Schizosaccharomyces pombe: one gene and its partners. The gene in region 1 interacts genetically with each later gene. Each region holds a gene or a part of one and is shown in the gene's direction. Other genes may lie near its edges.

Region 1 (10,040 bases):
ATTACGCTACCATTGATGAGTCTGATATTGGAACAATTCTTCATATCCTAGAACATAAAAACAGAGAACAAGTACTCTACTTAAATGTCAAGTACATTTCGAATCTAAATCCGAGTACTATTATGTCAGGATGGACTACATTAGCTACAGCGCTACAAGCGGACAAAGCAATTGTCAATGATTATATTAAAAACAATAATCTAAATATCTGAGAACATATGACTTATCCTCAGATTTACATAGAAAATCTTAGGGAGGGCAATGTCAGCAATACTACACTACGCTATAATACACTACGTTGCGTATCACTATATGTCACATGTTCTAATTATATATCGTACCATGTATGATACGATATGGAGATTGATCTTAATGATAATCTATTAAGATCTATATTATCTGAATACTATAAATAGAGCTACTGCTGAACCTCGTTCCTCAGTTCAGTTATGAGCTATATTAGTGATAGGTAACATTATAACCCAGTTAATACAATACCTATACTCAGTTGCTACTTATACAACCTGTGTATTGTAATATAATAGATCACAAGGAAAACTCACCGCAGTTCTACGTATCCTTAAATCAGATACCAAACTGCGTAGCTTACAATATTAATGCTGATATTCGTGTATATTGCAGACTTTAAACTCATTAGCTTATGGATTTACAAAACCTGCATACATTTTGTTTAAATTATCAAAGCAGAATATCTCTGGAAATTAACTTTAAGACAACCTTTTAAACAATACAAGGTATTTGAAGAACTAATTTGGCATTGAACAACCAATCTTCATATCTGCTAGGGGAATTTAGTGAATTTAAGATAAAAAAAGCCTACAGCACCCCGGATTCCCATGTTGTCTCCAACCATAGTACTAACGAAGCCCTCAGACGCTTAACTGCAGTGATCGGACGGGAACTGGTGTTTTCGCCTAGGTATGGCCGTAGACAGTATGTTTGTAAAGTAAAATTATTTGAATATATATGCTTTTTTTGCCTATGGATGACTATACCCAAAGCAAATAAGAGGTCTAAGCATTGGTACACTAATTTTTTTTAGAAGTATATATGCCTCTAACTTCTAGCAGATTTCCAATTCTTGATTTCTAATGTCAGCATGCAGAATATATATTTTTTATATTGATAGTGTTTCGGTTTAATTAACACGGTTTAACAGGTTTATTAACATGCGATGTAATAATACATTAACTTTTACTACTAATACAATAAGTTTTAATCAATAGGTTATGTCTTCTGATAATGCATACTTTGTACTAAAGGAAAACAACGAATCCGCGTTCCACCAGATTTATTTCAGCATTCTTTTAATGAAATAGTAAATCTCATATGCACAAACTATTAGAACGAACGAAAACTAATTTTGCAGTGAATGTGTTACAACAACTGTTCCATTTAATAATGTTAGGCTACTCTACTTCTAAACACCTTGGATAAAGTAGAACTTAAACTTTTAATGAGTTTTCCCATTTTTTGGCACCAATTACATACTCAAAGGTAAAGCTGGTGTTTTTTATTGTAATATTCATGCATTAGCCATACTTAACGCAGTAGACTTATAAAACCTATTGAGCAAATCTGTTTACCTACTACCTACTTCAAATGTATCGTCTTTAATGAATTTTTTAGTTAAGTTGCTCTTAAAAAATATTTTTGTTAAAAACTTTTACCAATGAAGAGTTTGAAAGGGCGTCTGTTATTTTTAAGAAAATTCGTCTTTTTTTCGTTGTTGATTCTTCTATTTGCTCATGGGGCTTCTTCTTCCTCTTCTTCGTTTAATTATTTTGATAAAAGAACCAATGGTAAAGCAAACAATGAATTAGCTCTTTTTTCACCTACTGCTGATTCACCTTCCTCTGTGGATGGCGTATTAGAATTGCCATCGGCAGAGAATGTCTTCGCAGAATCTAGTCTTTATAATGCCTTCATAGTTGCTACTGTTGATGGATCATTGCATTCTTATGATCGAATTACCGGCCAAGAACTTTGGTCGCTCTTCACAAACGCTAATCCAGGTCTCTCATACACAAAAGATGAAAATTCGCTTCTGTCAAGTAAATTTTTAAGTCAATCAAATTTTAAATCTTATAATAGTACTCATGGGGAATTTTACAGTGATTCTACTTTAAACATCAGTTACTTATCTGACGACGATACAGTTTGGTTTGTAGAACCTATCGATGGCGGAATATTGTACGCTTTTAATTTACAAACTGGCTTAGTCAGACTTCCTCATTCAATAAAGGACCTCGTTCATGCATCACCAATCCGTCTGCTAAACAACAATGTATTTGTTGGTAGCAAAAACACTACGTTATTCACTATTGATGTTTCAAACGGGGATATTGTCTCTCAATACCCTTCAGGCCATAGATATGAAACACATCACTCTGTGCATAATTTAGGTACAAAAAGAGATTCTGTACCTTCTGGCGCAGACTCTGATTTATCATTTAAGGACCCTTCTGGTAAAAAATTGTCTGAAAGTTTGGACTTGCTTGATGATTTCAATTACCAGGTTACTGTTTCAAATAAATCGTTTGTTGATATTGCTAGAACGGAATATTTCATAACAATATATTCTGATTCCAATGTCATACTTGATTTGGTTTACATCGATTGGACACCAACTAAAAACGAAATAATGTATGAATCTTTTCATTCATCATCTTTTGATTCGAAACTTGCGCTTTCATCATATGACAGTTCGTTGCACATTGTTGATACCCATTCCAAGTTCATAAAACAGAACATCCCTTTGATGTCTCCTGCTGCCACAGTGTTTGATATCGTAACTTTACCTCACAACAAGAAGATAGACAAATCTCAAACACCTGCGAAATTTCCGACTTCTGTTCTGCTTCGACAACCGATTGACACATACCTAGAAACGATGTTTCCTCAAATTGCAAGAAACAAAACTGAACACGTATACATAAATCATATAGGTAATGCATGGTTTGCGATGTCGGAACGTCATTATCCTTTGGTATCACTTGCTCCGGAAGCTTCCTTCCTTTATTACAATGGATTTTATATTCCACTGAATAGTATTTTTGGACTTCATTCCCTAATGGCAACCCCTAAGCCTTTTTTTGCTTTGCCAGGACTTCCTGGTTATGATATTCCTTCTTACGTGGAATCTGAAGGCTCAACAAAAACATTACCTTCAATTGGAAAAAAACCTATTCCTTTACTAGATCCAAATCCTATTTCCTCTACGCCTATTTCTATCACATTTTGGGTTATAATGTTCCTAAGTGTGTCTTTTACAATTGTTACCTTCTTTTCCATTCTTAGGATTCGCTCTTCTGAAGTCAGACCGTTAAAATCTCAGAAAAATACGGTTTCTATCAATAATAAAATTGATACTTCAAAACGCCGGCGTAAAGGCAAACGAAGAAAGAGAGTTAGCGATGAGCATTCGGCTTCTTCTAACTTCAACGAGATAGAAAGCCAGGCGTCTTTTGAACAAAATCAAACATTGGATATCTTGAGTGAAAATATTGTTGAAATTCAAGACAAATCAACTGATCCTTTACAAAAAAGTCTCGATAGCAGCCTAAAAAGTCATCTTCCTGAGGCAACTGTAATCCAAAACACTGATGGTTCAGTGACTGTAAACTCATTGACTGTTTATCCTGAAGTAATTGGTTATGGTAGTCATGGTACAATTGTTTATCGTGGTGTTTATGAAGATAGGGAGGTAGCTGTCAAGAGAGTTTTAATGGAGTTTTATGACTTAGCATCAAGAGAAATAACACTTTTACAGCAGAGTGATAATCATCCTAATATCGTTCGTTATTATTGCAAACAAAAAAGTGACCAATTCCTTTACATTGTCATCGAATTATGTAAATGCAACCTATCTGATTTAATCGAAAAACCAATTGCTTATGATGACCTATTCAAATCGATTGATCTAGTTTCATTGCTATATCAAATAGCTTTTGGGGTTTCTCATTTACATAGTTTGGATTTAGTTCATCGTGATTTAAAGCCACAAAATATTTTACTTGTTGTTAATAATTCGCCAAATCTTTCCAAAACTCGAGTCAGGGCTCTTATTTCCGATTTTGGATTGAGCAAGAAGTTAGATTTTAATCAAAGCAGTCTTCGTAATACCACTTTTGAGGCAGCCGGTTCTTATGGTTGGAGATCTCCGGAAATTTTAAGTGGTTCCCTGTCTCAACAATCGAAAGAAATACAAGTGAAAACTCGTGAAGGTAGAATCCGACAAGCTTCCCACGCTACTGATATTTTTGCCCTCGGTTGTATTTTTTATTATACGTTAACTGGTGGGATGCACCCGTTTGGTTCCCATTATGATTGTGAGGGCAACATTCTTAAAGGAAATTATTGTTTGGTACATTTGCAATCATTAGGAGAGTGTGGTGTGTTGGCCGCTGATTTGATTGAGGATATGATTGCATTTGAGCCAAGCAAGCGTCCTACAATCGAAGTGGTTTTGAATCATCCGTTATTTTGGGACTATGCCAAAAAGCTTGATTTTTTAATTGATGTTTCTGATCGATTCGAAGTTGAAGAAAGAGATCCACCTTCTCCGTTACTTCAAATGCTTGAAAACAATTCGAAATCTGTGATTGGAGAAAACTGGACAACTTGTTTACACTCGTCCCTAGTTGATAACCTTGGTAAATATCGGAAGTACGATGGTTCCAAAATTCTCGACATTCTTCGGGTATTAAGAAATAAGGTATTAATTTAATGGATGATTATTTTACTTTTACTAACTTCCTTTTTTAGAGACACCATTATCAAGACTTACCGGAGTCTGTGCGTCGTGTACTCGGCGATTTACCAGACGGATTCACAAGTTATTTTGTTGAAAAATTTCCAATGCTTTTATTGCATTGTTATCATTTGGTTAAAGATGTCCTGTACGAGGAAAGTCAATTTAAACGTTATCTAGAGTATTGACGTTTACATACTAAATTCTTAAAGTCATTTTATATGTAATTTAATCCTTATTTATTATGAAATACATTCATTTATAATTCACCTTCTTCTCTTTTTGGTATAAACAAGATATCGTTCATCTAATACTCGTATTAAGTCCAGATTCATATTCATAAATATCAATGCTAGTCTCGTTTATGTTTAATAAATAAGTTTGTCATGCAAATCAATGCAATTAAGATTATAACAAAAACAAATCCGACAATTGGTAAAACGCTTTTGGGTAAAAACCCAAGCAGCAATGGTTCTACAACTAAATAAGGTTAATATAATTTTTTCTTAAACTCTATAAAACATACCTAGCCGTAAAGGAACTAATGGTGGTCTTTTCATCAGACTTTCATTATGAGAATAAAACGAGGCATTGATTTCCACAATAATATGAGTTATATTGTAATTCAAAATTATGTCTGAAGGATACTAGTAAATTTATTGTTAAGACCTTGAATAAATTGTCATTAATGCTTACCACAGCTGGCCAAGAAGCCCTTATTTGGTATTTCTGAAGCGGTTTTAAGCCACACACAGAAAATGTGTATTTTGATTGTTGTGGAGCACCAGCCGCTTGTGGGATCGTTGGATTTGGCTTCAACAATAGAGGAATTGAAGAGTTGTTAGACAACTCAATATCACAAACAGAGTTCGAGGTCAACAGTTTATTAGAATCTCCAGTTTCTACGTTAATAATCTCCGTATTTGCTATTGCAAATGAGGGCAAGAAGAAAAGAAGTACGAATATAAGCCTGAACTCTCGCATTCGGAAAAACACAGGTCAAAGCAATTCCAAGTATTTGGTTCTTAGTCAGAGATGAAACCTTATGGATTTATTAATTATTATCTCTGTTTAATATAAAGGATGGAATGGTTATTCCAATAATTCATTACCGATTGGATGTCAAGGAAGAACTAGTTGGTTAATGTGCTATTCCACCACATTCGTAAATGGAAGTAATACATTACAGCACAAGCATTCTATATATCTAAAGCTGTTATTTAATTTCAAAAAGAGGAAGGATCGTGAACTGTCAGATCTTACTGATCATTACACTCAGTTTTCAACCATTGCATAACGAACCGTCTACCTGTTCATACAATTGCTCAAAACATGGCAGTTTTACTGAGAGATAAGCACATAAGTTACTTACACGATATTGGAAATGTAAGCGAAAAGAAAATAGTTTAATAATTCAATTTTCTTACAAACAGCGAACTGATGAGCTGGATTTCTGGTTGAAGGAGCATTTACACGTCAGCGCAATATATTGGAGTTGCATGAGCTTCTGGCTATTGAAGAAGAAAGATCAAATTGACAAAGAACGTATTGTATCGTTTCTGTTGTCTTGTTTGACAGAAAGCGGTTAGTTATATTACTGATACTGAAATATTGATACGGGCTGCTAACAATGAGTTAGGCGGATTTGCTTGTTATCCAGGACACGATGATCACATTACGAATACAGTATACGCTGTACAAGTTTTAGCAATGTTGGACTCTTTGCATGTCGTTGACAAAGATAAAGTTGCTTCTTGTAAGTTTCTTTGTATTTGTACATGCGATCCTTAACTAATTTATAAATAATTAGACATTATTGGCCTACAGAACGAAGATGGTTCTATGAAAGGAGACCGCTGGGGAGAGATAGACGCTAGATTTCTATATTCTGGAATAAATTGTCTGGCAATACTAGGTAAATTGGACTATCTTAATAAAAATACTGCCGTGGATTGGTTAATGAAATGCTATAATTTTGATGGTGGGTTTGGACTCTGTCCTGGAGCTGAGTCACATGGAGCGATGGGTATGTTTAATTTCAAAACCCAATTATTGACCTAATAGTTTTTACCTGTGTTGCCGCTCTCAAAATTCTCAACAAGTTAGATTTAATTGATGAAGAATTATTGGGTTGGTGGATTAGTGAACGGCAAGTTAAAGGAGGTGGATTAAATGGTCGCCCTGAAAAGTTACCTGATGTACGAAGATTGCTCTTTGTCTAGCATGTTTACTAATAGTTCTAGTCCTGTTACGGTTGGTGGGATCTCTCACCGTTAGCAATTATTGGAAAATTAGATTGGATAGACCGTAATCAGCTTATTGATTTTCTTCTAGGTACACAAGATGCAGACAGCGGAGGGTTTGCAGACCGAAAAGAGGATGCCACAGACGTTTATCACACATGTTTTTCTCTTGCAGGATTATCACTATTACAGTTTCCAAACATAGAACCCGTTGACCCTCGTTTTTGTCTGCCTTTAGAAGTCACTCAAAAAATGAAATTATAAATGATGCATTATTACTACCACATAACCATAAATTAAAAAAATAAAAACATAAAATATGTACTTTCAGAAAATTGGCTTGCGTTCTTCTCGTTCCTTTTCAACGATACGACGCAAACGCTTTTCTGTTTTAGCTTTACCTGAACCTTTTCCATGAAATTGATGAGACAACAAATATTTGTATGCTTCTTTGGGACCAAGTTCCACACCAAACTCGTCAACATACTTTATGTCCACCTGAGGTTTATAATCATGAAATTGTTCAAGCTCTATCTCCGCAATTTTTTTATCCCATCTTTCATTTTCTTTTTTTGCATACTGTTCACGTTCCTTCTGAGTCATTTTTTCAAATTTCCCGCTGAGACGATCTTGTTCTTTTTTCTTTCTACGTTGCTCCTCCAGTTCAACTCTGGCTTGCTGTTTTCTGGCAAACCATTTATTGTACTCTTCTTCTTTTTGTATTTTCTCTTTCGCTTCATCCGACACTTTAATTACGCCTTTATTCCGGAGAAGGCTTAGAACTGCACCAACATTGTCAGAGACAAGTGGCTCATCTTCTGCATTCTCCTGCTGCGTATTGGCTTCTTCGAGAGTTGCAGAAATATCAACCGAGGTGTCTTCCACTAAAGCATTACTTTCTTCAGTTGGAGAACTTCCAGTAATACTATTGGTATCGTTCAAATCTTTGGAATCTTCAAATGCTTGTTCATTTATGGAACCAAGAGCTTCTCGATTTTCAGTTTCCTTTATGCTATTAACAAAAGCACGCGTATCATCAAATATTAAACCGGAAGCCGTGTCCGAGTCCGTCATATCTGTGACTTCTTCGGCATTCTGCAATTGCTCAGCTACATCTTCTGGCTTAAGTATTTTCGCTCTTTTTTGAGCTAGCCTCCTCTGCATTGCAATTGACTGTTGCAAATCATCATCATCAGCAAACGACTGTGTTTCTAATTCGCGCATACGCTTTTGAATCTTCATTTTCTTTTGTTCTTTGAAAATAGCCGAATCTTGCTCAACTGACAGATCACTGTTACTCTGACCATTCGGTAGCACGAAATCAGATGGGTCATTTTCATTTTCATTTTCTGCATCAAGTTCTACTAGACGCTTTCTCCGATCAGACTTTGACTTTTTCTTTTTTGACTTCTTAATCTTTATTTGTCGATAATCTGATTGTTCGCTGCCAGTGATAGTTGGTTCAACGAAAGAGACAAGAGTCCCAAAAGTTTTTTTATTATCAGATTTATGTTTTTCTATAGTAGAATTAACAGTGAGACTATTTTGTGGACCAATGGTCGTAAAAGTATCTTCAGACGGTTGATCTGCTTCCGACTGTTGAAGAAAATCATTCTCATCTTCATACGGTTTGTAGGGGTTATCTTCCTTCCTTTCGTTTTTAGTCTTCCGCTGGACCATTTCAACATTTTCTAATAGATCATGATTATCTTCGTCTAATATATCAGCATCTTTCAATGTAAGGACTAGACCATCGTTCTTGTTTAAATCTTGAAAACCGTGTGCTATTTTCATTCCTTCTAATGAGCTATTCACATTGGGACCAGCATTTTGCGAATGTAGAGTGGATCTTCTGGGGGCGTCATTCTTCGCTTCAAAATTCAATCCATTGCCATTTTTATTCAATGAGGAATTACGCATTTTGAGTATCCACGCTCGAGTATCGTTAGCATCGATTTGATCATCCTCTTCTGCCAATGTTTCAGCGAGTGTTTTTCCTTGCGTTCTGCGTCTTCGTTCATTCTTTTGCCGTAATTTTTCAAATTTGCTTTTCAGTTCTTCTTCTTTCTTCCTATTTATTTCCTCCTGCTCTTGTTTCTTCCAATTTTCATAGGCCTGTTGTTCTTGATCGACATACGAAGACTTGACTGAAGCATCTGAAAGTTCTTTCTGAGGTTTTTCTTCTGAAATATCTAAGGGTTTGAGGCCTAGCGAAATTCTAATTCTATTGGTCTCCTCAATAGAAATCGATTCAGAGGCGCCTGAATTCCCAGACATTATACTAAATCCAACAGCAAGTGACAGACTTTCAAATGCTGATAAATAAATAATAATATGGATTTTTAATAAAAAAATACACTAAACTTGCAACTGACTCAAGGATATGAATAAAATAGGAGAATGGCGAAATACACGAACCGTAATATTGTTTCAAATAATTTACTTAAACTCTCATTTATATCTCACTAAGCTATTTTAGCGTACTTTCAAAAAAAGTTGCGTTTCCTAGTATGCGTCCGCGCTTGCTAAGGAATAATAAACAAAATACGTTAAAAAGAGAAGAGCAATTGAGGCGATACGTATATGAAGTATACATTTTCCAACAAGCAAGGATTCGTTATGATACCTATTATACGGCCTGGTCTAGTTGTAAAAAGATTACAAAGTCCCAAAATATTTTTAACTTTATGGAAAACTTGTTATAATGTAAAAACTTATTCCACTGAGTCTATAAAACAGAAGAAACCTCAAGATTTAAATTGGCCCACATTCCTGAAATTAAGAAAAAGCAGAAGGATTTTTGAAACCTTAACTTCTATTCCTACTGCACTTACCGGACTAGGATTAGGATCCGCCTATTTTCTTACGCGTACTGTTGACCCTACCATGACTATTATGGGTCTTGATCTATTTACTCTATATGTTATTGGAACTATTGCATCCGGAGGGCTTGGATGGCTTTTGGGCCCTAGTATAGGTAGAAAAATATGGACACTGCTTCATAAAAGTCAAGCGAGACAAAT
Region 2 (12,216 bases), on another chromosome or scaffold:
TAATAAACCTCTATTAATGCTCTTTATGCATACCTTTCTTGTTAATTCTATACTACACTAATCTTATTCTATCCTAATTCTGGTTTCCCGCCAATTTCAATTTAATATGACTTTATGCAAGACAAAAGGCCGAGACTTTATCCATGCAATTGTTTAAAATAGATCAGACATACTTACATATAAACGCTTCCAAAACAAGCTTAGCGAACAATAACTTAGCTTGCACTGGTACATCGGAATATTCACGATTATTACTAAATTGCCACTCATCCCTGATTCCTGTATGTGCTAAAATTTCAAATTACTTTTTATCGCTACATTGTTATGTGCAGCCTCGGATGATACCGACTATAATTTGATACTAACTAGTTTGTAATGATGGCATTCAAAATGTTAGCAATTCATTCACCATACCTGTCTCTACTAGTGTATGTAATTGTGAGTCTAATAAGAAAAATATGAAAACCTTAATGAGCATGACACTTTGTTTTCTGTTCATCACACTCATCAATAATTCAATGGGAAAACGAAATGTGAACGGATTTTAAGTTGCTGGAATGGTAAAATGCGTTCATTCAATAATGTGGAATTAAAAAAAAAAGACAAGAAAATAAAAACTTACAAATTTAAAACATACTTCATAATCCAAACTATTCTATTTTTTTGTGATTTGAAAACGAAATCACAAATTTTCCTTATACGAATTTACAATCCTTGTAGAACACTATGTAAAGTTAACGTAGTTTACAAGAATAGTGTTTTTTTTTGGTAAAAATTATCACTGTTGCGATAAATTAAAAAAACGATGCGCAACATTACTTTAAAAATTTGATGCGATTCATGTAATACACTACACCACAAGTCGATACACTCCTTTCTCCATCTGCCCTTGGGGTTCCCTTAGTGTAGACAGTTGGCACTTCTACTTTGTATAGTATCGCTGGCTTAATTTAGGTATTATAAAAGATAAAACTTGCTTCACTCGTTAATACTAGAAGTTCGGCCTTTATTACCATTTTTTACAGCCCAAAACATTCTTGGTACCTCAGCCTCTGACCGAACGAGAAAGTTGTATTTAAGTTTATTTACCTTTTTCCTCTAAAACTGCAAAATCCACGTCTCTGATTGCTCATTTTTTTTTAATATCATGTCTAGTGGATTTCCTCCTGAAGTATTGTCTCCTCTTTTAAATTTAGTTCAAGGCCTTTCGTCGCCTGACAATACTGTCCGAAATGATGCTGAAAAGTCTCTTAGCTCAGACTGGATAAGTCAAAGAGCTGACTTATTATTAAACGGCCTTGCGATTTTAGCTTATCAAAGTGAGGACCCAGCTGTGCGCTCCTTTTGTTTAGTTCTTTGCCGTCGTATTTCCTTTCGCACCTTACCAGGAGACAGTGAGTTGGAAGTGTTCTCTAGCATTTCAAATGAGTCCAAACAGTCTTTGCAAAGTCAACTTCTAGCTTGCTTTGTTAAGGAGTCAGTTCCCACTGTTCGTAATAAGCTTTGTGACACAATCGCCGAGATTGCTCGATCTATCTATGATTGTCAAGGCGAATGGCCAGAACTCATTAACGTTATCTTCAATGCTGTTAACTCTCCTGATGAGTCTTTTCGTGAATCAGTTTTCCGTACCATCACTTCTTTACCTCGTTTATTGTCAGGTCAAGATAGTGCTGTTACTCCTCTCTTTACCACCGGTTTAGCTGATCCTAGTATCCGTGTAAGAATATCTGCCGCTCGTGCCTATTCTGCCGTTATTCTTGAGAGCAAACAATCCACTCGAGATCAGGTTATTCCTCTTTTACCTAGCCTCATGAACATCCTTCCCCCTCTGCAACAAGATCGTGATTCTGATAATTTGGCGGACTGTCTTATGGCCATCACTGAAATCGCCGAAGTTTTCCCAAAGTTATTCAAACCTATTTTTGAGAGCGTCATCGCATTTGGTCTTGGTATCATTAAGGACAAGGAGCTGGATAATTCCGCTCGCCAAGCTGCTCTTGAATTGCTTGTTTGTTTTTCGGAGGGTGCCCCTGCTATGTGTAGGAAATCTTCCGACTACACTGATCAACTTGTACTTCAATGTCTCTTGCTAATGACCGATGTCGCTGGCGATCCTGAGGATGAGGCAGAAGAACTTCAAGAATGGTTGAACACGGACGATTTGGATCAGGATGAAAGTGATGCTAACCATGTTGTCGCGGAACAAGCCATGGATAGACTTTCTAGAAAGTTGGGCGGAAAAACAATTCTTCCTCCCTCTTTCACGTGGCTTCCTAGATTGATCCCGTCTCAAAAATGGTCTGAACGTCATGCTGCCCTTATGGCCATCTCATCAATTGCCGAAGGTGCTGAAAAATTAATGAAAAAAGAGCTTAGTCGTGTATTAGATATGGTACTTCCTTTGTTAGCTGACCCTCACCCCCGTGTTCGATGGGCTGCATGCAATGCTGTAGGCCAAATGTCTACAGATTTTGCTCCTGACATGCAAGTCAAGTATCCTTCTCGCATCCTCGAGGCATTGGTACCTGTTTTGGAGTCTCCAGAATCCCGTGTTCAAGCTCATGCTGCTGCTGCAATGGTTAATTTCTCTGAAGAGGCCGACAACAAGGTTCTCGAACCTTACTTGGATGATATCCTTCAACGCCTTCTTACCTTGTTACAAAGCCCTAAGCGATATGTGCAGGAACAAGCCGTTACCACTATAGCTACAGTTGCTGACGCTGCAGCTAAAAAATTTGAAAAATATTTTGATGCCATCATGCCGTTATTGTTTAATGTTCTGCAACAAGCTGACGGCAAGGAGTTTAGAACCCTTCGCGGTAAAACTATGGAATGTGCTACTTTAATTGCCTTAGCTGTTGGTAAACAACGATTCCTTCCTGTATCTCAGGAATTAATCCAAATTTTAGGTAACATTCAAATGGGTATTACTGACAGTGATGATCCTCAAGCTAGTTATCTCATCTCTGCCTGGGGAAGAATTTGCCGTGTTTTAGGAAGCGATTTTGTCCCATTTTTGAGTTCAGTTATGCCTCCTCTGTTGGTTGCTGCTACCTCGAAACCTGACTTCACAATTATAGACGACGAGGTTGATGAAAGCAAATATTCTGAACAAGATGGTTGGGAGTTCATTCCCGTTCATGGTCAACAGGTTGGTATTAGGACTAGTACGTTAGAAGACAAGTGTACTGCCACCGAAATGCTTGTCTGCTATGCTGCTGAGTTAAAAGCTGACTTTGATCCTTACGTCAATGAAGTTTTGACATCTGTTGTACTTCCAGGATTGAAGTTCTTCTTTCACGACGGGGTTCGTTCTGCTTGTTGTAAGTGTATTCCTCAGTTATTGAACGCTCGGATTTTAGCTAGCAATCGTGATCCAGCTAAAGTCAATGAGCTTTGGGAGCCTATTTTACGAAAGCTGTTGGATCATATACAAAATGAACCAAGCGTGGAAATGCTTGCCGACTATTTTGAATGTTTCTATCAAAGTTTGGAAATCAGCGGCTTGAATCTGAGTCCTTCTTCGATGGAAGCACTCGTTGCTGCCGTTGATTTGCAGCTCAAAGGATTCATTTCTCGCGTGCAGCAGCGTGAGGAGGAGGCTAAAAATGGTGACATAGATATTGAAGAAGATGAGGACATGATTCTTGCAGTCGAAAATGATCAAAACTTGTTAAACGAAATAAACAAGACTTTTAGTGTTGTATTAAAAATTCACAAAACTGCTTTCTGCCCTTTTTGGGAAAGGCTACTACCGTACATGGATGGCTTTTTGTCTGGAAACGACACTGTAGCTAAGCAATGGGCTCTATGCATGATGGATGACTTAATTGAATTTACTGGACCCGATTCTTGGAACTACAAGGATCACTTTTTGCCTTACTTAGCTGAAGGTATTCAAAGTAGCGAACCAGAAATTCGACAAGCTGCCTCGTACGGTATTGGAGTAGCCGCTCAGCATGGAGGAGAGTTGTATGCTGAAATCTGCTCTAGTGCTTTGCCCGCATTGTTTAAGATGCTCGAGCTTCCTGATGCCCGTGATGAAGAACAAATTTATGCCACAGAAAATATTTGTGTTGCGATATGCAAAATTTGCCGCTTTTGTAGCCAACGTGTTCAGGATCTTGACAAAGTTGTAACGTATTGGATTAATACACTTCCTGTAACACATGATGAAGATGACGCTCCTTATGCTTACACTTTCCTTGCGGAATTGATGGAACAAAATCACGTGGCCGTTGCCTCACAAATGCCAACGATTATTACGATTTTAGCAGAAACATTTGCATCTGGAGTTTTACGTGGAAGAACTTTGACACGTTTGATGGAAGCTTCGAAGGTTTACTTAGCTCGTTTCCCTGCTGATCAAGTTAATTCTGTCATTGCCACTTTGAGTGTCGATAATCAGAGAGCTTTGTCTGCACATTTTTAAATTTCATTTCTTTCACTCTAAGTCTTTCAATATTTTCTTTGGTTCCTCAAAATGCTTTAGTTAGTTTAGGTTAGGTTAGGTTTTTATTTAATCCATCAACAATCTTCGGATTTTGTTTCACTCTTTTTAGACTATGCCGGCTAGGTTTTCACTTATTGCTTTATACATTACTTGATTTTTCATCGTATTAAATTATTTCTTCGTGTAGCAGCTCTTTCGTGTATAATACGTTTTGATGTGTGGTATGATTATAATATATTGCTCGCATCTTTTGCAATTAATTTTTTTTTTAAATGTATATACTGTAGTCAAATTGATTTTGCTTTAGTTATAACCTGTGAGATCTGGTATTTTATTGAAAGTAGCATAGTTAAGCACTATCCAACTTCCCATCAACATGAGCTACAACTCCAATCCTTATAACGGTGGGCAATATCCACCATATAATACATATACTAGACCTAATTATTCACCAAATAATGGTTCTCAAAGTAATAACACTGTACATCAATATCAGCCTCCACGTATGCCACCCCCTTCCACAAGGCCTCAGACAGACGGCAATTCTAATCAAATCCCTATGGAGAATGTTGGTCATATAAGTTTGAGCTCTGCAAACTCCCATGCTTATGCCCCACCCTCAGGTCCGCCTCCGAATACTGGTGCTAATTCTTATGGCAACCCAAATTATAGTGGGCCTCAGCTGCCAAACACTCAGACTCAATCTTATAACTTAGCAGGAGGAGGAAACTTTCAGTATCAGTATTCAACTTGCCAAGGGAAGCGAAAGGCTTTGCTGATCGGAATTAACTATCTCAATACCCAAAATGAGTTGCAAGGTTGCATTAATGGTACGGAATGCGAAAGGTCAAGTAAACATATATTAACTTGTTTAAGATGTCATGTCTATGTCCCAACTGCTGATACAGCGCTACGGTTACAAGCAAGAAGATATGGGTATGGTTGATTACGAGAACATCTTGCTAAAACTTTTTTAGTTATTATGACAGACACGGCAAGCAACCAAAGGGCAATTCCCACTCGTCAAAATATGTTAGATGCGATGAGATGGTTAGTAAGTGATGCCCAACCTAATGTAAGTTATATGTCATGGGATTTACTTCCTAATGCTAACTATTTAGGATGCATTATTTTTTCACTATAGTGTAAGAATCATCACTTTACATCTCATACTCACATGCATAGGGCCACGGAGGGCAAACAAAAGACCTTGATGGAGACGAAGTTGATGGTTATGATGAAACGATATATCCACTGGACCATCAATATGCCGGGCAAATTATAGATGATGAAATGCACGAAATAATGGTTAAGCCTTTACCAGCAGGATGTCGTTTAACAGCTCTCTTTGACTGTAAGTCAGTGATTTTAATCTATTTTTAACAAAATATAGCTTGTCATTCAGGTGGAGCTCTCGATCTTCCTTTCACGTACTCTACCAAGGGCGTTCTAAAGGAGCCAAATATGTTAAAAGAATCTGGTATGGATGTACTTCATGCTGGCCTTTCTTATGCCTCTGGCGACATTATGGGAGCTATCAACAACGTGAAAAATATATTTACCAGTGCTACCAATGGATTTAATAACAACGCTCTACAGTACTCTAGACAAGTTAAGTTTTCTCCTGCTGATGTTATTTCTTTATCCGGATGCAAAGATAATCAAACAAGCGCAGATACAAGTGTTAATGGATTCGCTACTGGTGCTTTATCATACGCCTTCCGTGAAGTCGTCACTCAAAATCCCCAACTTAGCTACTTGCAGTTGCTGAGAGGTATTCGACAAGTACTTTCCAACAAATACTCACAACTGCCCCAATTAAGTTGTAGTCATCCTTTAGACATGAATCTTGCCATGGTTTTATAGTACACTAAACATTACTTGATCATTGAAGTTCTATATTTTTGTAGTTCCATCAGATATTTAAGGAATTTTCAATTAAGGATAAAATTTAAATCACAACAACTCAGGAAATCATATCTAATACTTTATTGAAATATTTTTGTTTGCAATTTATAATTTTGCTTAAAAAACGAGCTCAAATTAAAATTATACACGCGAGAAAACTCATGGCTCTTCCAGTCCGTTCTGTTGGGGATGAAACCATTCAGATTTGATAGCCTGTTTAACTTCTGTAGCATTCTTTATGGAATCTTCAAGCGAATGTCCGCGAGCACAGATATAAAACTTAAGTTTCGGCTCTGTACCACTTGTGCGAATAGTCATAATTACCTCTCCATTTTCAAGCTCAAACGTTACGTTATCTGAACTTTTTGAAACTGGTAAAGTAGCTTTACCATCCGTGGAGCTTGAGTCGTAACCTGTAGTAAGGTCGCGAACATTTGTAATTTTCTTACTACCAAGGGTTGCCGGATAACCCGATTTTGTGTCATAATGTCTCAAGGCATCAACCAAAGCACGAAGCTTGGGAGTGTCGCGTGAAAGGAAATATGAGTTTTGCGTAGTGTAATAACCATATTTTTTAGACATTTGCTCAAAAACCTCGGTAATTGAAAGATTCTGAAGTTGAAGGCGTTTCAAAAGATGAAGGAACGTAATCAAAGCATTAACCCCGTCTTTGTCTCTAACTATACTACCTACCATATAACCAAGAGCTTCTTCATATGCCAATCCAATAAATTTCCCTTGTTTTTCCAATTCTAATGCTTTATTGCCTAACCACTTAAATCCAGTAAGTGTTTCAACATGATGGAATCCTTCTACTTTGGCCATGGACTTTACCATAGCACTAGAGACAGTAGTTGACAAAACGTAAAAATCATCAATTGGCTTTCCAACGTTTTTGTATTCTTGAAATATAAAATAGGCAAGGATACAACCAACTTCATCTCCGGTAAATCTTCTCCAAGCACCATTAATTTTTTCTGCAAAGGCGAAACGATCTGCGTCAGGATCAGTTGCAAGGACATACGAAATACCATTAGCATCAGCTTGCTCGTAAGCCAAATCCAATGCCCCCTCCTCTTCTGGATTTGGAAATTTCACAGTCGGAAAGTCAGGGTTTGGAGAATCTTGAAGAGGTACAGAAATCATATCGCCTTGTTCGCCAAATAAGTGTAATGCTGAAGTAACAAATGGTAATCCAACGCCATGAATAGGAGTGTAAACAAATTTCAAAGATTTCATTTCCAAGGAAAAGTTGTTTTCGGAATGGAATTCGTGGAGCTGAGACCAATAGTTTTTTAAAAGACCAACTGCAAAATCCCGATCTGCTAGTTTATGATTTTCAACCAAATTTTTGTCCCAAGTAATGGGCGTTAAGTTTTTTTCTATACATGCAGCAATTCCCTTGTCATGGGGAGGAATGATAGCACAACCGTTTCCCCAATAGACCTTGTATCCGTTATAAGCTGCGGGATTATGGGAAGCAGTAATCATAACACCAGCTGCAGTCCCTAGGGTTTTAACGGCAAAAGGGACTAAAGGGGTATGGACAAGATGATCGAAGAAATACGTTTTGAATCCTTTTTGCAAGAACACTGCAGCAGTAAGTCGAGCAAAAGTATTAGACTTATGCCTATGATCGTGTCCAATTACCACACCCAGCTTTGCAGCTGATGGTACGGTTTGAAGCAAATACTCAGCGAAGCCTTGTGAGGCTTGAATCACGGTCAAACAGTTCATGCGAGCGAAGCCAGCACCAATTTCAGCTCTCAAACCTTTGTAAACATTAGTAAATGAATAAACGAACTTGATAATGTTAAAACATTAAGATGTATAGAGAGAACAATCGCAAGCTGAAAATCTAATTACACTTAAACCAATTTCGTACAAGCACGTTATATAACATTCCAAGCAAAAAAGACCAAAACAGATAGAAAAGAAGAAGAAGAACGAAAAACTCTTTCTGAAATATGACCAATATGATCATCACAATAAATTAGTATACGCAGTAAGGAAAGTGACCGATGATCAAGTATATCACTTCGACTCTAATCAAGGAAAACACAATAAAGTAGTTTAAGCTACCGGCTGTAGCACTGAGAATTCTTTATTAAGAAAGAGGCATTATTTAGCGTTCTCTTTCAATCCACTTCAACTTGCGAAATATCTCTTAACAATCTCAATTTTTTCTTCTTTTGTAATAAAAACATACCAGATGTACCAAATCCAATCCTTGGATGCATAATTTGCTTGAGGGTGGCATAATCTTCAGCCTTAATCAATTGTGAAACTTCATTCCTCGTAGTTTCATCCTAATGCGTTCAATCTGTTAGTTCCACAGTACTTCCATAGTAAATATAGTCCTAATACTTACTTGATCTAATTTGAACCACTCATCTACTAATTCTTGCAAAATCGGATCCATCTTGCCAAATGGGAATTGTTACCATTTGTTTGCTACACACACAATACACGTATCTCATCACCTCGTTTAACGCGTCCTTACGCCGTGGTATTTCGTATCCGTTTTCTTACAAAAATGATTTTAATAAAATAGACTCAAAAACAAAAAGTAGTAATAATATTATACTCATGACCTCCAATTATTCTAGAGAATTTCTTAAAACATTAGCTGCAAAAAGAAGCCTAGTAATTTGAAAGCAGCAGTTAATTACGATATATACCGCTTACAAAAAGGAGAAATTGGAAGAATTCAAGACCTGACGTCAATTCGCAAGCTGAATCGTTTTAATTAATAGGCGTCGGACAATGGGATTCACTTAGGCTTGGCGACGTTCTTGTCTAAAAATTGCTTGTCGGAATGTGTCATTGAACCGAAAAGGTTTGAAGCTCTTGACTAATAAACAACAGTAACTGATGTTAACTTTTTATAGAATATCCCAGGTTTCAATTCAACACGTTTATTCATAAATCTCAATCTATGTTATGCAGATGAGATTGAAAATCAATACCATCAAGTACAACTTCTCTAAACTGAACGGGTTAAGTATGGAATGGTTTAAAGTTTTAAGTACTGGATCACTCCAAGCTTTGAGATACGATAAGAAAATTAGTGTTAGTACATTTGTGGCTTTAATCACACCTTTTCCATAACCAGGAACTAAGTTTTCAAAGATCTACTATTCGATGATGAAAAAATAGCATTCATAAAGTTGATAACAGCATACATAAATGAAACTGAAATATTGAGGAGGTAAGGCAAACATGATGACCATAGTTTCAATTGACTATGTAATACGTACTATGGCTCATTAAAACCTATCAAAGAAAGAGAAATACGAATAAGAGGAAATTCAAGCCTGTTTAGAATGAGAAGAGAATAAAGATTGGGTTTTGGCGAAGGATACGCTGTTGCATTAAAACAGCCTTAAATAGGTTCTATAAATGGTTAGCATGTAAAAAAAATTAAAATTGAATCATGAAAAAATATTAAAAAATAATAAAAAAACCTACCACTTAAGAGCTTGTTCAAATTGTTGAGACGAGAACCAACACTGACATCAAGAATATTATCACCAATTTCAACAATTAGTCCACCGATGATAGAAGGAGTAACTTTATTGCTAACCAGTAATTTACCCTTGCCATATTTCGATTTAGCTATCCGAGATTCGAGACGAGAAAGGATCTTCGAATCTAGAGGAGTAGCTGAAGTAATTTTAACTTCAATTTCTCCTCTTTTAGCGCGCATCAAAGTAGAGAATTGTTTCTGAATACGAGTTAAGAGATAAAGACGATGATTGTCTAACAAAACATTGTAGAAATTCTTCAAAAGGGGTTCATTTCCAGTCATCTGCGTCAAAGAACTAACCAATATTTTCTTATCCTCACGAGTCAACCAAGGACTAGAAATGTATTGTTCAAATTCCGGTCTCTGTTGAAGAACACCAGACAGTTTATTTAAGGCCTTCTCAACATTGTCCAACTTGGATTCTTTTACTGCAGCGGTATACAGAGAAGAAGCATAAGAACCTAAATAAGAGAAAAGAGTTAATTACCAAGACAAAAAATTCAGACTTTTGGATGACAATGAAGATATCAGTCAAAATGGTAGCAATTAAAAATCACCTTTTACAGTACATACCATCTAAACCATACAACTGGACAGGGGGATGAGCAGAAGCAGTTGCAGTTGCTAAAGAGCGAATTCCTAAGGAAGGTAATCGAGCAGTGATGGGAATGGAGCGACGAAAAATATGATTCATTGTAATGTTTCACACTCTCAACGTTTAAGGAAGTTGGTTAATGGCTCCGATCATACCTCCGTTTTGGTGTCATCCTTTAAGAACAAGCTACAACGTGCTTCCTTGCAATACTTTCTTATTCAGGTTGTTACCTACAAGTTGCCTATTTGTTAAATTGAATACAGGTTGATTATTAAAATGAGATTAATTTGAAATGTTGTATAAGTGGTTTTTCTTTTTTTTTCATTAGATAAGAATCAAATGCCAAATTTTAGAAATACACGCAATTGATCATTAGCAGTATTGCCAAACAATATACACTAAAAGCCTATGTGGTAGGTTGCCTAGTTGCCTATTAAAGACTTACATATTCTTACTATTCTAATGTATATCACCTATGTTTCTGGAGATGAGAGGAATTGTTGTGTGTGCAAAACCTACGATGGCAAATGATTCAATTAAGGGTTTTCATGTGATATTGTTCTTAGCAAAGCTGCTTCTTAAGATTGATTAAATTAATACATAAAGTAGTAAATCTAAGAGCAACTGAAAAGATTTCATATAGTAATTAAAAAGAAGGTAGCCGTAGGCAAGATTGTGCAAAGATTAGTAACGATTTCCCTTAGGAAATGCTGGAATTCAAAAAGAAGAGATAAAATGTTTAAAAAACCTTGAGATAGAGAAAGCCTTATTTCTTCAGAAGCCGAGAGCCAGCAAGTGAAAAGACATATAAATATATACCATTCAGGGCCATAATCCAAAAAAAAAAAAAAGAAAGTAAGCAAAAAGAGTTAAAACAGTTCAACGCAAATGTTTTCGACACCATTGTAAAATTGAAGCGTTTAAATAATATGGAAACCATATTTAGAAAGATATAAAAAAAATGAAAAGTTCCAATTGGAAACAGCTTCAATGTTGAGATTCGAAAAGATTAATTTACAGCTTCACTATTTTTCCACGATAAACTGCTTCCACTATACTGTCCGTATCATTTTGAGAAATCCTAAGAACAGCTCTTTCACCAGCATAGGCACTGCAAAGTCCAGTGTCGATTAGCAGTATACGACCTTCACATCGACTTACAATACCATGGAATTGAGGAGTATGTCCCATAACTAAACGGTTTACATTTAAGGTTTTGGTTACATTGAGAGCGACCTCGCAAGCTTCTTCTTCTGAAAGCTGAGCCAAACCACGATACCACATTGGACCTTCAATCGCCCAAAAATCTTCCAAGTATTCAGGTATTTTTTCTCTAGACATGAAGTGGCTCAATAATTCCTTTCCTAATTCATTTACGGTCTCCTCTCGGTATGCCCACTCTGGTGATAGACCTGCATGCATAAAATGTGATCCAGTGGTATTATCTTTATAAGTGACATTGTATTCAGAGAGCAAAAGGTTACCAATTTCACCGGAATGCCCCCAGTCAATTATCCTGTTCTCTTCTGAAGGCTCGGGATAAGATGCTTTATCCCCAGGATGAACATAACGCCAATCACCTTTAGCGTTCATGAATTCATGGTTACCCAAAAGGCGAACCACTCGTCCTCCATGCTTTTCTGCCTGCTTGTGCAAGTCATTAAACCATCTAAAAAGTTTCCGTGTATCTGGGCCGCGATCGACGACATCTCCGGTTTGAACCAGTGT
Region 3 (8,943 bases), on another chromosome or scaffold:
GCAGAATTTTACGTGAAGTTATGACTTTGTCTCGTTTACATCATGAACATGTAGTGCGTTATTATACTGCTTGGGTTGAAACTGAAGCTAATGATACTGTAACTGAGATAATTAGCTCCGATAGTGAGTCGTTGAGTCAATCTTTAAATATGGCAGTGGACTTTCGGCAATCTTCAAGTCTTCCAGCCGATAAGCTTTCTAGCCTCGATATTCACTTTGAAGATGATTATAATTCATCTGCAGACGAGGAAGACCCTGAAGCTTCTGACATCTCCTTTCAGTATTCTAATACTTCAGATAAAGAAGGTTCTTCCGATAAAGACAGCAGCATTGAAGAAGCTTCTTCAGTTAAAACACAAGAAAATGGTTTGAATGCTACGCTCTACATACAAATGGAATATTGTGAAAAGTTGTCATTGCAAGATATCATACGAGATAAAATTCCTGTGGATGAAATGTGGCGGTTGTTTAGACAAATTTTAGAAGCTTTGGCATATATTCACAGTCGGGGAATGATGCACAGAGATCTTAAGCCTGGAAATATTTTTTTAGACGAAAATAGAAATGTAAAGCTTGGTGATTTTGGCTTGGCTACAGAAAATGAAAATTACCAAGATAACAATGACAAATGGAAAAATCGCCAATCAGCAGATGAAGATCTCACAACAGGTGTCGGTACAGCTTTGTACGTAGCTCCTGAACTTCTCAGTAGGCGTAATGGGGTACGCTACGATGCAAAGGTTGATATGTATAGCTTGGGTATTATACTCTTCGAAATGTGCATGACTTTTTCTACTTCTATGGAAAGAATTCGGATAATTGATACTATTAGATCTCCATCTATATCGTTCCCTTCCACTTTTCCTTTTTCCCGTGCTAGCCATGAGTTCAAAGTCATTCATTGTCTTCTACAACACGATCCCACAAAAAGACCATCGAGCCAAGAACTCCTTGAAAGTGAAGCCATACCTCCAAAAGTTGGTGAAGAGTTTATTCAAGAAGGCCTTCGTCTTTTGTCCAACCCTAATACTCCTTATTATTTAAAGCTTCTGAAAGTTTTATTCGGCCAAGTGCCCGATCGTCATAAAGACTTTACTTACGACTTCAACCTTAGTGAAGAAAGTGGAGTGTTGTCGAAAGTGTCGGATAGAGGATGGGATAGTTTGTTAGCTTGTTTAGTACGTGATCATGTAGTTAAAGTATTTCGTCGCCATGGAGCCAAGGAACGTGAGTCACATATTCTATTCCCAAAGTCTTCTCAATACGATAAAGACCAAGCTTCTGTTTCCCTACTAGATAAAAATGGTACCCTTTTACAGCTTCCATATGATACGGTTCTTCCTTACGCGAGAAATGTTGCTAGAAACGCTGTGGAAGAAGAAAAGACGTACTTAATTTCTGACGTTTTTCGGGAAGCCAAAGGTGGAGGGAGACCAAAGGCTATAAAGGAAATTTCATTTGACATTACCACGAATTCTGATAATTTGGATTGGTATGATGCAGAAACAATCAAAGCATTAGACGAAGTATTAACAGAGATACCATCCTTGACAGAAAGTTGTATCTTAATTAATCACGCTGACATTCTTTCCTCCATTCTTGATTATTTACAAGTATCAAAGGATAAAAGACGCATGGCTACTCATATACTTGGACAAATCAACCAACGCTTAACATTATCACAGGTACGGAACCAGCTTCGTATTGAGTCATTAGTTCCCTCTACCACCTTAGACGATCTGAGTTTGTTTGATTTTCGGGAAAATTATGAAGAAGGTGCTAGCAAACTTAGAAAAATTTTTGGGAAGGAAATGCCACAGAAAATGAGAACTGCTTTAAATTATATGGAGCGAGTGGTTAAATTACTTCGAGCACTAAAAATTTCTCATCAGTTATACTTCATGCCTTTATGTGTTTATAACTTTGAGTTTTACGATGGAGGTTTGATGTTTCAAGCAATTAACTTGGCGGAAAAATCTGAACTCATTTGTGCTGGTGGTCGTTATGACAAGCTTGTACGCTTTTTCGATCCTCCTCTAATGAGAACTGCCAGAAAAAAGCATGTTGTTGGAATATGTTTTGCCCTTGAAAAACTAGTATTTTCAATGCTGCGATATATTCGATTTCACAATAGTAAGCAGTCAAGCAAGCATTCTCCTTCACCAACTTTAAAGTCTGTAGGCCCTTGGGCACCAAGGAGAGTTGATGTCTTAGTTACTAGTATTGGCAAGGATTCAATCCTAGAAAAATGCTCACTTTTGCAAGAGCTTTGGGCTTTAAATATCCAAGCGGATATAGTTTTAAGGGGTGCTAGCAGTTTAGAAGAGATTGTAACACACTATCGAAGTGAAGGCATTAATTGGGTTCTCGTCGTGCGTCAGAAAAATACCCAGATGGAACATTCAGTCAAGGCTCGAAATATTTTAAAAAATGAAGATGACGAAATACGCTTTGATGAAGTTGGGATGTGGTTGCTGGGAGAAATTAATGAAAGAAAAAGAAACGAAAGCATGTTACAGTCGAAACGTATATTAGACTCAGCTCAACAAGATGTTGCAAAGTTCGTTGACACCTCTCAATCCAACCTCGACGTACAGTTGATCTCGCTTAAAGACGTTAATGATAGAAAGTATAAATGGAAACACAAACAAAATGCTATGAATAAAGTTTATGATCTAGTGCAGTCAGCCATTCGTGAAAGCTCAGAAGATGCTATTGCTTTAGCAGTGGATTGCGACTCAGAAGCTATGGAAAAACTTCGTAGTACCACTACGCTTGATGAGGAGTCTTGGAAACGTTTAATAGAAAGTTGCCCAGCTTCTCAAAGGGAATATATGCAGAGACTGCAAAAGAAACTTGTCACCCTTGCAGAACAAGATAAGAAGCGGGTTTGGATATGCTCATTCAGGACAAACGAAATTTATCTTTATGGACTTAAATAAATTTTGAACTAATTAATCATTTAATTTTCATTACTCTTTTAATTAAATAGAAAAAATTTTGCTATAAATTACTTTAAATGTGTATATTTCGTGATCGGTATATTATTTTTTGTTAAGTAAGTTAGAGTCAATTTGATACTTTTTATTTTTAATATAACATGGAAGTTCTGCTTTTATACCATTTTTCTCTATATTTCACGTTCAAATTACCGTTGGATATTGACCTTTCTACTGCATGAACGGGTTTGCAAGCTCAATGTATCTCACACTAACCTAGCACACCAATTTAAACAGCCTAATGGATGAAGGAATAGAGAAAAACATATTTGTCAACTTGGAATCTCAGATTGACGGTGTGTGTCCCAAATTCTATGTTAACGTTGATGATATTGATATCATTCATGAACCTCCTGAGTTTTATCAACGCTTGAAAAAATTAATCAAAAAAGCTCAAAAAAGAATATTTCTATCAACGCTATACATTGGAAAAGAAGAGCGAGAATTGATCAATTGTCTATCAAATGCGCTAAGCAACAATCCCTCTTTGCATGTTCACATTCTGGCAGATCAATTGCGGTGTACTAGGGAAAGCCCTGGTTGTTGCTCTGCATCTCTATTAATGCAATTGAAAAAGAAGTTTCCTGATAGATGCGAAATCAAGCTTTACCATACACCGAATTTGCGTGGACTAAGAAAGCAATTGGTTCCACACAGATTTAATGAGGGATGGGGATTGCAGCATATGAAAATATATGGTGCAGATGATAACCTCATTATCAGCGGGTAAAGGCAAATGATTATTTACTATACTAACGAATAGAGCCAATCTTTCGAGAGATTACTTTACAAATCGAAAAGACCGGTATTATTTGTTTAGTGATAAGGGTTTAGCGGACTTTTTCTTTAAAACGCATTTTTTGTTTTCACAGCTTTCTTTTGAGTGTATCCCTCATTTATCCGATTCCTCAATTCAACTATCTTCTACGTCCCCGGTTATTCCTTTTACTTTGAAATGGAACAATTCATGTCCAAATCCTTTAACAAATCCTCAAGAGTTTCGGGTAGCAGCTTCTGCTAAAATTCAACAACTTCTTCAGGGGAATCGAGAGAAATTCTTGTCTCGCAACCCTTCTAAACCGTTATCATCAGTATATGGCTCTGAATTAATTAATCAAGCAGGTGATGACAACAATAAGCCATTTCATAAATATGAAGAATCTGCTATCGTATACCCACTTTTTCAATGTGTACCTATCCTTACTTCTGACGTACATTCTACTGAAGAAAAGGTCTTGTCTATAATCGGGACCTTGCTATCGCGCAAGGAGGTTAATTGGACCTTAACGGCTGGCTATTTTAATGTTTATCCAGCACTTAGAAAACAGTTGTTGAAATCTGAAGGTATAGGGGAAGTAATCGTGGCTTCTCAACAGGCTAATGGATTTTATCGATCTCCTGGACCATCGAAATTAATTCCACCAGCGTATCAGTATATTGCTGAACAATTTCTTAAAGATTCAAGAAAGAAGAAAAGAAATATTGATGTCTTACAATGGCAAAATAAGGGGAATACATATCATGCTAAAGGTAAACACTACAGTCTGTCGTTTTCCATTATAAATATTTTTTGGAGCACGGCACTTAAGTCATATATCTTTGAAAAATTCACTAACACTATTTTAGGATTTTGGTTGAGTACACAACATCACAAGCATCCTTTTTTAACGACGATTGGGTCTTCCAATTATACGAGTAGGTCTCAACAGTTGGACCTTGAATCCACCTTAGTTGTAATGACACAGAATGAAAAATTAAAGAGAAAATTTTCTACTGAAATTGAACTTATTAAACAGCACACAAAGCCTATGAATACCTGTCAGTTAGAAAAGGTTCCTATGTATGTGAAGGCTTTGACTTCTCTCATGAAGAAAAAATTATAATATGAATTTAATAAAATTTATAAATAAATTATCAAGAATTAGATTTTTCGGCGTTATTAAGCATGTAGTATAGCACAATACTGTATCAATTATATTACATCGACAACGGCGTACCTAATTCTTGCCAACGCCGATCTCACTGAGCAACGCGATTCGAGCGTTGACGAAATCTTCATAGTAGATTTAATGCAATTGCAATCGCCATTTGGCGATGGAATAAGTTGTGAATGTCTCAATATACGTGTTTTAGGAATTCCTAATGAAACCAAACATCAATGGATATTTGTTCCTCGTGATCTCATAAAAATTGTACGCTAACCTTAATGAAATCAAATATAACTAATTCAATAGAAAATTTATAGTTTATTGCAAATATGCAAAGCTGAAAATTGTTCAGCTGTTGCTTGTCGAGGCTGCAACTTATGTATTCTTGCTGTGCAGGGAAATATTGAAATATCCGAGGAACCGCAGAAATTATTTCAAGAAGAAAACGTGAAAGTTTACATATACGATTCAGCTATTTCTCTTTCTTCTGTAAGAGCATCTTTTCCTATTTCAGAATTGGGCATTCGAATGGACATAATTAAAGCGCGAGCTGAACCTCGGGAAGATGAAATACGGGCTTCATTTTCTTCACTAGTAAACAAGGAAATTAAGCGTACAGTCGAAGAACTTTTGTTGTCAAAGAGATCAACAAATCGTTTATCACTACTTGCGTTTATGCGTAATCAGCAACTCAACTATGAAGCCTACGAAACTAAATTGTTAGAAGATGCTTCGACAATTGAGAAATCACTAGAGAAGGAAGTGAAAACCATATATGATAGCAATATCGCATCACCAAAGGAGTCGAGTGATGCCATTGATGCTGACCATGCCATGATCGACGAAAGTCGGTCTACTCAACGTCGAAAATCGAAGCCAAAAAAGCATGTTGCTTTTACTGATGAATATCAAGTTGCCTTTTCGGACAAGCCCGGCAAGTATTTTAACCAGCCAATGCAGTATTCCAAACAGTTCAAACTTGACAACCCAGACTATGAAGCGTCTTCGGATTCGTTAAACGATATAGAAAATCTATCTACTTTAACTTTCAGATCTGATGAAGAACTTGAATTCGATTTTGACACAAACAACATAAATAATAACAAATCGGGCGATTCACTTGAAATGTCAACCACGATTCCGAGCGACGAGGAAAATGAAGATTTTACTAGCAAAGTGGATGCTATGGAAATTCACTCAGGAAGTTTACCATTAAATATTGATTCTTCTCCTATATTCACAAATCATTCTCCTTCGTCAAGTCTTAGCTCAGAATCCTCCTTTGAAGCCTCACCCTCTTCGTTTGTCGATCGGAAAAATAGATGGATCCAAATGTTGAAAAAGGCAGACGAACATAGTCGAAGTATCCAAGCCCGAAGTATGGGCTATGTATTAAGTGATGATCTTGACAATTCAAAAGCTTTTAGACCTTATAAACAGTCGTTTTTGGCTCAAGGTTGGAAGAGTTTAAATTGAATAGCGTCTATGTGTTTTATCTTTACAATTTAGGACTATTTCTTGCGCTCCTTTTTTTCTCACAAAGAATGCTTGATGATTTTGTTTCGTTGATAATAATTTTGCTATTATTTTATACTATTTTTAAATAATTATAGTTGGGGTTAATAATTGATTTGCTTTTGATTTGTATGATCGACAGCCGATTATAAACATGCTCGACAGTATTCGATCGAACTACCTGCATAAACAAGGTAGTATTCAGTACTAAAGGTTAGACGCCAAACTAGTGAATTTACAATACCTAAGTAATTGATGCAGTGTTGCCCATCAACACCCTAAGAACAGACGACTGAAATGATACTTCGTGAAACGATTCTCAAAAGTTACCTATACAAATTTACAGCTTTTGTTATTTAACATCAATATTGATTAAACTTAAATTAATAATTGTGTTTTAATGTACCAATTACAAATTCCTAGTGAGTAAATAATACCAAAAGCATTGATTACTTTGTATAACAAACGAGGCTTTCGATAAAATGGGATTCCCTAAATAAAATAAATCTAAGAAGCAGAAGAATTGTTGTGAACATAAAAATATTTTATTTAAACATTGGAGGGATAAAGCATGACACGGAGAGAGGCACCAAAGGTCTTGGGAGGAAGATTATGGGTGAAACGAGCACGAACAACACCAGAATTTCCATGAGGACGACTAACAGTTCTAAAACGTAATTAGTAAAGGTTTTGAATGTATTCGTTTAGCCAACAAAAAACGACCGTGAAAATATAGCATTAACGTTTCTTCATATTCTCCAAAGAAACGCAAGAATTTAATTACAAAAATAAACTTACCCCCAAATGACACGAATCTTGGATCCACGAACGGGCTTGTTGCTTTTGTAGACGAAGCAAATACGCTTGCCTAGGTAAAATTGGGCTTCTTCCTTAGAATCACATCCCTCAATCTTTACCAAAGAAGTTCCTGGGTGGATAACATGTTTGCTTCTTTGAAAAGAGAGATGTTTAGCTTTAACGTACAATCTGTGTCCCTGAGCAGGCATTTTGACTTGGTAAAGGCGGAACTCTTAGTGTGGTGATCCTTACCGTTTGCTTAAGCTGTGACTGCCCTTCTTGTGCTTGCAAAACCTAAGCTTGTGTTGGTAGTAAACACTTTCATAAATCTAGCATAGTGTAACGTACTTCATAATCTTATTGATTGCGATCATATAGCTTAATTCATTATATAATCTTAAAAAGATACTCTTCAATTTTTTAAAATTATCTCTCACTTACCAATACAGTATAGTGTAAAGTTTTTCTAATGATCAATATAAAGTAACGGGGACTAACTTGATAATATTCGATTTTGTTTACATATTATTGTTTAGTATTATATCTTGTACCTGAATAGTCTACTACTGAATATAGGAATATCGGCTGATTAAACCTATTCATTGTATCTCTAATAGTACAACAATTTGGTTTTATCTGAACTAAATAAAATTTATTTAGCGAATGAAGAACAAATTATGAATGGCAGTAATGGACGGACGCAATGTAGCCGTCGTAAGGTGAGCCAATGTCATTGAAATTCATCAAACCTAATGTCTCAGTACAAGAAGCAAAGAGTTTTCAAATTACTTAACCTAAAAAATGAAATTCTATAGACTTAAATCTGTTTGCTAAGTGGACAAGATCGGGTTTTGCGTAAGTAAACAAACTTCATTTCGAAGATGAGTTGGAGGAATGTTCATTGAACTTTTTCAATTGAATTATAAAATTATTATATAACTTTCAAAATCGATTTGTAATAAACTTGAGTGAAAACAAAACTAAGCTAAAAATTACCTAGTTTAAGGTGTGTCGCTACAAATTCTCGTTAAATCCATAAGAAGCTTTGTGGAACCACCGTAATTGCTAAAACTCGCCAAATGGACAACCTAGATGAAGATGACTTAGCATTCTTCTCAAAGCCTATTAAAAAGCCTCCATTAAACTATGCCAAGCAATTAATAGCCTCTTCCTCAGATTCTGGTAAGTTTTAATTCCGATTGCAAAGTGTCAGCTTGCTTACAACATTCTAGAAGAGGAAAGTGAACTTGATACCAATAAACAAGCATTAGAACACATAAATGCACAGAAAAATATAACTCATAATGAAAACAAAAGTGCCGAACCTTTATCTCGTCAATCCACTATTTTAGATGCTGATGAAGGCAACCAAGACGTTTCAGACACTACTCCTAATGCGTGTTTGAATGAAGGTAGGCACTCACCCAAAAGTGCTATCTCCTGTGTAACACAACCGGTTTCACCAGTTTATAATACTAGGGCGGCCGCTAACTTGCGAAACAACAGCATTAATAGTGAGGCTGCGCTTTCTACGACTTCATCACTGCTGGACGATGACTTTGCTCGTAGGTTAGAGGAAATTGATCGGCAAGTTCAGGAGTTTGAAAAATCATCAAGTGATATGGATGTACAAATTCACACGCATAAGAGAGAAATTGAAGAAGACGATGACAATACTTCGGCTGATGTGCCCCTTTTAAAGC

Evidence for each region.
Region 2: mutations in ire1 (region 1) and pca1 together harm fitness less than expected from each alone (positive genetic interaction), as found in Schizosaccharomyces pombe (one large-scale study listed by BioGRID).
Region 3: mutations in ire1 (region 1) and toc1 together harm fitness more than expected from each alone (negative genetic interaction), as found in Schizosaccharomyces pombe (one large-scale study listed by BioGRID).

What each region holds. Positions count from the first base shown.
Region 1 is NC_003424.3:1,554,388-1,564,427, reverse strand, and holds ire1 (serine/threonine protein kinase Ppk4), read left to right. Parts: upstream 1-1,609; 5' UTR 1,610-1,693; coding exon 1,694-4,738; intron 4,739-4,788; coding exon 4,789-4,962; 3' UTR 4,963-5,045; downstream 5,046-10,040. Other genes in the region: Tf2-2 (retrotransposable element/transposon Tf2-type), read left to right, coding at 1-212; GPI-mannosyltransferase II complex subunit Pga1, read right to left, coding at 5,127-5,254, 5,301-5,421, 5,471-5,758; geranylgeranyltransferase type 2 beta subunit Ptb1, read left to right, coding at 6,107-6,160, 6,208-6,358, 6,414-6,530, 6,585-6,800, 6,839-6,972, 7,018-7,281; U4/U5/U6 small nuclear ribonucleoprotein complex subunit Snu66, read right to left, coding at 7,345-9,294; putative TIM23 translocase complex-associated motor subunit Pam17, read left to right, coding at 9,637-10,040. UniProt on the Schizosaccharomyces pombe protein: Endoplasmic reticulum (ER) membrane-resident kinase/endoribonuclease involved in unfolded protein response (UPR). Initiates the selective decay of a subset of ER-localized-mRNAs that is required to survive ER stress.
Region 2 is NC_003421.2:2,259,135-2,271,350, forward strand, and holds pca1 (metacaspase Pca1), read left to right. Parts: upstream 1-4,832; coding exon 4,833-5,286; exon of another isoform or gene 5,287-5,332; coding exon 5,333-5,392; exon of another isoform or gene 5,393-5,433; coding exon 5,434-5,531; exon of another isoform or gene 5,532-5,558; intron 5,559-5,577; coding exon 5,578-5,601; intron 5,602-5,641; coding exon 5,642-5,810; intron 5,811-5,849; coding exon 5,850-6,322; 3' UTR 6,323-6,523; coding exon of another isoform or gene 6,524-8,136; 3' UTR 8,137-8,171; downstream 8,172-12,216. Other genes in the region: karyopherin/importin beta family nuclear import signal receptor Sal3, read left to right, coding at 1,148-4,435; pgm2 (phosphoglucomutase), read right to left, coding at 6,524-8,136, 8,574-8,673, 8,736-8,786; F0-ATPase delta subunit atp5, read right to left, coding at 9,750-9,760, 9,836-10,354, 10,467-10,587; SPOM_SPCC1840.07C (phosphoprotein phosphatase), read right to left, coding at 11,503-12,216. UniProt on the Schizosaccharomyces pombe protein: Involved in cell death (apoptosis).
Region 3 is NC_003423.3:2,398,513-2,407,455, forward strand, and holds toc1 (Tor complex Tor2-interacting protein 1), read left to right. Parts: upstream 1-5,005; 5' UTR 5,006-5,068; coding exon 5,069-5,191; exon of another isoform or gene 5,192-5,233; coding exon 5,234-6,403; 3' UTR 6,404-6,820; downstream 6,821-8,943. Other genes in the region: eIF2 alpha kinase Gcn2, read left to right, coding at 1-2,942; pgs1 (CDP-diacylglycerol--glycerol-3-phosphate 3-phosphatidyltransferase), read left to right, coding at 3,241-3,725, 3,763-4,529, 4,626-4,882; rpl35A02 (60S ribosomal protein eL33), read right to left, coding at 6,992-7,109, 7,241-7,449; DNA repair protein, SUMO-related Rad60, read left to right, coding at 8,320-8,422, 8,473-8,943. UniProt on the Schizosaccharomyces pombe protein: Component of TORC1, which regulates multiple cellular processes to control cell growth in response to environmental signals. Tor2 is essential for growth. Nutrient limitation and environmental stress signals cause inactivation of TORC1.